Arabidopsis thaliana: one gene and its partner. The protein of the gene in region 2 interacts with the protein of the main gene of each other region in a pairwise test. Each region holds a gene or a part of one and is shown on either strand. Other genes may lie near its edges.

Region 1 (3,839 bases), on a different chromosome or scaffold from region 2:
AGTGTTCATTTATAGTTTGCTTCGGTTTCTACTTACGATCTTGGCTTGTTCTTGATCTGATTGGTTTGTCGATTAGCTAGTCGAGAGAAGTTCTTGGTTATTTGGTGAATACTGTTTCGACCATTTGTCGAAAACACGCGTGAAGTGATGATAGCAACATCTATGACAAGTTTTGTCTTTTAATGTTTTCTTACATATGGAGCAATGTGATGCCCTTCTAATAATCTCTAACAAAGAGAACCCCATTGGATGCTTTATTAGTTTATTTAACGTTACATGTATTTTGGTATATACTACCAAAGAATTGTATTTGATATTGTGTTTAATTTTTCTTCTAGTACTCTTTTGCTTTTAGTGTCACAATCATCCTACACAGCAACTGTCTTCATAGTTTATTTCTATCTGTTTTGTTCTGTTTAAATGTCTTATTAGCAACTTTTAAACAAATAGAATGATTGTTCTAACTTTTAGGTAACCTAACTTTGAATTATAATATTAATTCCTTTTTCTTGTGACTCTGAAATCAAATCTTCCCACAGATCTCAATATTCACTTTTCTTCTCTTTTTTCCTTTACTCTATACTTTATACGGTTGTTGGATGTCTACTTGAAATCCATTAATGTATAGTTAATAGTTTACAAATCTCAGACTAAAGTAGATATGTGAAAAAGATGTACATTAGATTATCTTTACTAGAAAAAAATATACACAAAATAGTACTAACAATCACATGAAAAAACAGTAAAAAGACACTAAATTCAAGAATCAAGAAAAAGAATCTCAAAGCTTGAGGGACAAGTCAAGTTTCTGCTGCTCTTCATGATGACTTGTACTTAACAACAATCCTTTGTCTCCGTGCCATTGTTCAAGAGTCGGTGACCCTTCTAGAACCCGTCCTGTGTTGCTTGGGCTATCGATGTTATTGGACCGTGAATTTACTGAAGGAGCCATCATCATCATCTGATGATGATGATGATGAAAATTATCCATTGAGGGAAATTTACCTATGGCTGGTTGTTGATCAAATGGAAGTCTTGACCAGTTGATCTGACCATAGTGACCACCAAACCCGTTATAAGAACTTAGCTTGTGGCTTATCGAATGCGCTTGGATCCCTAAAGACCTATGGTTGTTGTACTGTCCGTGGAAAGGAAGTGGAGAGAAACCGTAAGGATGTCCAAAAGCTGAGGCTGACGCTGCCATACGTTGTCCTCTCTTCGCCAACGTTCTCTCTCTCTTGTGTGCGTTTTGGTGACCACCAAGTGCTTGTGAGCTATAGAAAGTTCTTTGACAATAGTTGCATGAGAAAAGCTTTTGTTCTGTGGATGTTGTAGATTCGTTAACGATACTCGTTGTGTCGTCTATGCAGTCGATGAGATTGAGTTCGTGACTAGAATTATGAACGTCTCTTTCTTCGTCTTCGATGCTCTGGTTTAGAGAATCTTGATATGGAAAAGCAGTGGATGAGGAAACTATTGAAGCGTCCATGAGAGCTAAAAAGGGATAGATTTTTTCAGGAGATGATTTTTTTCTTTCTCTTTCTCTGTCTCTTTCTATCAATAATAGCTATGAGAAGAGGTTTATATCAGTGAATGGGAGCAGAAGTAGATGGTATTAGAAAGGAATAGACAAAGGAAACAAAGACCCTACACTAGAACATTTTCTTAGGGTTTTGTAATAAGTGGACCAAAGTACTATGATGAGAGCGATAGGTAGGTTTGGTTTGCTGTCACACCCTTCTCACAAAACACTTTAAAGCTAGTTGATTGGAACTCCACCATCTAAATACCTCTATCTATATATATGACTCTTACCCTTTTTGGCTGCTTCCTCCTTCAATAGTCCAACAAATACATTAAGTGTGTAGAATTTAAATTTCGCTTTGATTCCGGTTCAGATTTATTTGGGTTTCTAGATTTTCAGTTTATGAATGACCAAATATCTAAGTAAACCAAATGAGTACTATACCATTGGTAATCCACAATCCATAATAATTTTTTTTTTGTAGTGCATGTTAAGGAATCCTTTAATATTTTAAGTATGAACATTTTCTAAAAGAAGTTAAGGGATCGAAAAGACAATGGAAAACGAAGCAGTTTCTCAAAATAGTAAGTACATCATGATGAAATGACAGAAGAGAAAGATGACAATAAAAATTGAAAAGGAAGAGTACTGTTCATGGACCATCCAAATTTGTTCAGGTCTGTTTATGTCTACTTTTGTATAACTCCACGAGGTAAGTGACCATTTCTGTCTCCTTTGGCTTCTCGTGTGGTCCTCTCCTTCATCTATTCTTTCTTTTGTCTTCTATTGAGTCAAACCAAAGCTCAAACTAATCACAAAGTAAAAGAACTGGTTATTCGAACTTTGTAATAATAGTTAAGTAAGTATTTCGGGTAAGAATATAGATCGATGATCTTGACAAAGCACCTGGTTAGAACAACTTGGAAACCACTCGTACGTTCATTATTATATTTATCGATTTTACTTTGTATCTTAGTGAGAAATTGTAGACCATGTATATGACTTAAAGAATATTTCGTCTTTATGATGGATCAACCTTTCTCTTGTTGTGTAATCTTAAAGGAAATGATATTTGAAACTTCCACACGCTCTTCTACTTTATCATCTAAAGAGTTTAGTGGATTTGTCAATATGAATTTTGGTTTCCCACTTAATTTCACATCATGACATACAACTAGGTTGCATGACAAAAGTCACTTTCTTCAACCAATTAATACTTTTCTTTTGGAAGCCACATCGGCAAGATCAAACCCACTTAAGCTTTTGATAACAATCTAAACCACATTTCCAAAGTTTTAGTTTAAATTTATTTAGCTAAATTTGAATTACTTTAGCTTGTAATGAAAGAGAAAAGATCTAATGGTTTAAAGTTATGTATATTTGTCGTATGCCAATTGTGACCTAGTTGATGGGTCCAACGTTACATATGGCCGACACAAAAATGGGAAAAAGCTAATTAAGAGTTTTCAGTTTCTAATTAATGGCTAATTATTTTCATAAGAAAACTAATTTTCCTTTAATAAATGTATATGTGAAGTTCTTTCTGAGTTATATGACATCTCCATTTAAGTATACCTTCGTTCTTTGTTTCATCAATCCTCAATACTCAATAGATTGATCATAAAATGTTAGATTAGTGAGTAATGTGAAATCGTGAATTGGGAAATTAAAGTGTATTATGGACTATGGTAGCTTAATGAGTATAACAATTTACCACGTTGTATTTATATGATATAGGTCACATAGTCATCAATCATAGTCAAAAGATACAGATGAGAACATTGGATCTTACTTTAAACAGATGGTGACATGTAGCTATTCATAATTTTCCCTGTATGTAGAGAGATTTGATTCGTCTTTCAAATCTCTTTGTTTGACAAAGCTTTTGTGTATTTTTTAATCTGTCAATGCTATCGGTAAGTAATTAAGTATCATATAGTAAAAGTATTAACCACTAACCGGGTTCATCTAAGTGTTTTTGGGCCTTATTATAATCTAATAGTTAACATGATTAGCTAAATTTATTCAATTCAATAAAAGTTTTCAAAGTGAACGAAAGTTACAAATCTGCAGTGATTATTTTCTAAAAGTGGAATAATTTTATTGGTAAAAAATTACTAAAAACTAATTAACCCAAAATTGACATATTATCAATTGCAGACATAACATTCATCCACTATGGGTTTACTTACCACGTGGAGTTATGCACACTAGTAACCTCTTTGGAATTTTATCCAAAAAAAAAAAAACTCATTGGAATTATTTGATGGCAGATTTATTTCGATGAGAAATGATTGATTGTTTTTAACTGTGG
Region 2 (3,600 bases):
CGAATGTTGGTTATTTCAAGCCTAAGGAGGAACGACTTGGGAAATAAGAAGCGACTAATAATGTACTTCTCTACTGGTATATGGAAATTACAAAGTTTTCGAAAACTACTCCAAAAAGTGTTCCACATCGATTATATATGATATCATGATTATATATAATCAAATAAATCCACAAAAAGAGTGTTTGGTATTTTTATATAACACGTTCTAGCCAAAAGAAATGAAGATAAACTATACAAGAAAGTGTTGCTAGATAGATCGAGATGAGGATATTGATCATTATTGACTGATGATGATAGCGAAAAGGTAAATTAAACAAACACATAGAAAAGAATAAGAAAATGGTATAGATAATAGAATCATGAATTACTTTTACAGCTTGATCATTTTTAAAATAAAATATACAATCAACATTAATCTGTTATTCACCAAAAAATAAAAGATCCAAAACCTAAAACTTTCTTTCGATCTCTCCCTTAAAGTTTTCAGTTCGCACGACGCTAAAAGGATTGTCAGTCCTTTTTCTCTGCTCAAGCACTCGTAGATTTTTAATTACATATCCCTTTTCAGTATTCATCAAGTGCATAATCATATAGTCTATGATTTTTATCAAGTATTATATCTATTTTCTAGGGTTTCAAAAAAAGATGCTCTTCGATTGCAGAAACTATTATGCACACCAACCTCATTTAAATAAATATATAATTCAATCGTCTAGATTATTTTCTATATTTTAATACAAATCATTCGGTTAGCTTTAGGTTAATGAATCAGTGATCTCACTTTTCTCTTTGCGCGTGTGACATTATTTTTGACCATGAAAAATTAAATAATTTTGGATTAAGAAATTATTAAATAATCCGGTTTAGGAGATGTTTTAAGTTTAGATTCGGGAGTGTTGTAAACTCTAACGTTTAGTTTCGGTGACAACTTTTAAATTCAATTTTGATAGTCGTGTATCTATTATCCAACAAAATCTCACTTAGAGATATCAGATATATCGCAAAATTAATCGAGATCAACTTCAATAGTTTCATCTTCTACGAAAGTAAAGTTGTCGCCGCCGGCGTCTTCAATTTAACGTGTCGATAACGTTCCATATTCGAGTTTGCATATGCATGTCACTGGAAATAATAGTTAAATCATCTAAATCGCATCCATTAATGATTTGATCATCATAAAATTTGGTAAAAAAATTACCTAACTCAAAAGTAAAATATAAAAATTAATCGTTTGAGTAGTTAATTAGTTTACCGGTATACTAGTTAAAAGTTTTTTTCCTTTGACGGCGCTCATATATATGTTTTAAAGTATATCAAAATAGGGATTTAATTCTTAAAGTTACACTAATCCTAATTCTTAAAGTTAACCATCCATACCAATTTACAGAAGTACAGAACTAGTGCTTGATACAGAGGAACAATTGATCTCATCGAAAGTTGGGACCTTTTTAAAAATAATACTATTATATATATATAATAAATATACAAATATATTTAATATTTATTCTATATATAAATATGTGCATAATAACAAATCTGAGTATGAATAGTAGGAGGGGTGTATAGGGCTTTCAAGTCTTTTCTTACAGAAACTATCTATAACTCTAGCAGAGAGCTCATTATAGAACAGAACAGAAACAGAGCTTTCTAAGTCTACAGCACAGAAATAAACCTCATTTACAGACTGTTTTACTTTCTTTCCTTTTTGAGCATTTCTTCTTTCTGTTTCTTTCCTCTGTTTTCTCTTTCTTTCCCTTTTTGGGTGTCATCTCTTTAAGACAGAAGAAACGTTTCTCAGAGTTTCCTGTGAACTCATCTGTTTGTTCTCTTCTTCCGGTTTCACTTTTTCATGTCCTGCCGTTATTACAACGAGGTTGGTTTAAAGATCAGCTTTTATCATTTTTCCCTGCATGTAACAAGAAATATTTAGGTTTCATGTCTGTTTACAAATATGCTCTGTTTCTAAGTATGCCTCTCACATTTGTCTTTGTTTTGGGTGTTTTTAGGATTGTGTTTGATCCGATGGAAGGATTGGAATCTGTGTACGCTCAAGCTATGTATGGAATGACACGAGAGAGCAAAATCATGGAGCATCAAGGATCAGATTTGATTTGGGGAGGAAATGAGCTAATGGCTCGAGAACTCTGTTCTTCTTCTTCTTATCACCACCAACTCATTAATCCGAATCTTAGCAGCTGTTTCATGTCTGATCTTGGAGTCTTAGGTGAGATTCAACAGCAGCAACATGTTGGCAACAGAGCTAGCTCGATAGATCCATCATCACTCGATTGTTTGTTATCTGCGACGTCGAATAGCAACAACACCTCGACGGAGGACGATGAAGGAATATCTGTGCTTTTCTCAGATTGTCAGACTCTTTGGAGCTTTGGTGGAGTCTCATCTGCAGAGTCTGAGAACAGAGAGATCACTACTGAGACGACAACAACGATAAAGCCTAAGCCTTTGAAGAGAAACAGAGGAGGAGATGGAGGAACTACTGAGACTACAACAACAACAACAAAACCTAAGTCTTTGAAGAGAAACAGAGGAGACGAGACAGGAAGTCACTTTAGTCTTGTTCATCCTCAAGATGATTCGGAGAAAGGAGGTTTCAAGCTTATATACGATGAGAATCAATCGAAATCAAAGAAACCAAGAACAGAGAAAGAACGAGGCGGTTCTTCGAACATTAGTTTCCAACATTCAACTTGTTTGTCTGACAATGTCGAGCCCGATGCTGAGGCGATTGCACAAATGAAGGAGATGATATACAGAGCGGCTGCATTTAGACCGGTGAATTTCGGGTTAGAGATTGTGGAGAAGCCTAAGAGGAAGAACGTCAAGATATCGACGGATCCTCAAACGGTTGCAGCGAGACAGAGAAGGGAGAGGATAAGTGAGAAGATTAGGGTTTTACAAACATTGGTTCCAGGTGGGACGAAGATGGATACTGCATCAATGCTTGATGAAGCTGCTAATTATCTCAAGTTCCTTAGAGCACAAGTAAAAGCTTTAGAAAACTTGAGACCCAAGCTTGACCAAACCAATCTCTCTTTCTCTTCTGCTCCTACATCGTTTCCATTATTCCACCCATCTTTTCTTCCATTGCAAAATCCTAATCAAATCCATCATCCAGAGTGTTGACAGATTATAAACTTTTGAGTTTCATCATCATCAACAGAATCATGGCGTCTTGATTGTTTTAGCAGTTCTCAAGAAAGGCAACTTCTGTGACAAGGGTGGTGTCGGGCAGTGTTGTTTACACTTTCCAGTCTTTGTTTTGCATTTCTTTTTATATAAAGTTTGTATTTTATATAGAATCTGTGGAATTCGAGGGTTGAAATATTGTGAAAAACAGAGCCGCAAGAGGTTAATTACAGTCTCTGCAATATTTTCAACCTTTTATTACTTTATTAGAGTAAAGATAGCGTAAGATAATTGCAATTATGAAGCGATGATTATCAACAAAAGTGTTTAGAAAGTGCCTCCATCTCTCTCTACTTAAAAAAGTTTAGCTTTACTTGAAGAACTCTTTTGGAGTACTAAAATATAAAATTAATATTCATCCTCTTTTTTTGGTACTCAATAAACTCTGTCT

What was found.
Region 1: the proteins of AT3G21330 (region 2) and ZFP3 interact in a two-hybrid assay, tested with the Arabidopsis thaliana proteins (one large-scale study listed by BioGRID).

The regions. Positions count from the first base shown.
Region 1 is NC_003076.8:8,685,174-8,689,012, reverse strand, and holds ZFP3 (zinc finger protein 3), read right to left. Parts: upstream 1,826-3,839; 5' UTR 1,490-1,825; coding exon 782-1,489; 3' UTR 598-781; downstream 1-597. UniProt on the Arabidopsis thaliana protein: Acts as a negative regulator of abscisic acid (ABA) signaling during germination and early seedling development. Involved in the regulation of vegetative development and fertility. Modulates red light signaling in seedling photomorphogenesis.
Region 2 is NC_003074.8:7,505,696-7,509,295, forward strand, and holds AT3G21330 (basic helix-loop-helix (bHLH) DNA-binding superfamily protein), read left to right. Parts: upstream 1-1,544; 5' UTR 1,545-1,875; intron 1,876-2,008; 5' UTR 2,009-2,024; coding exon 2,025-3,146; 3' UTR 3,147-3,491; downstream 3,492-3,600.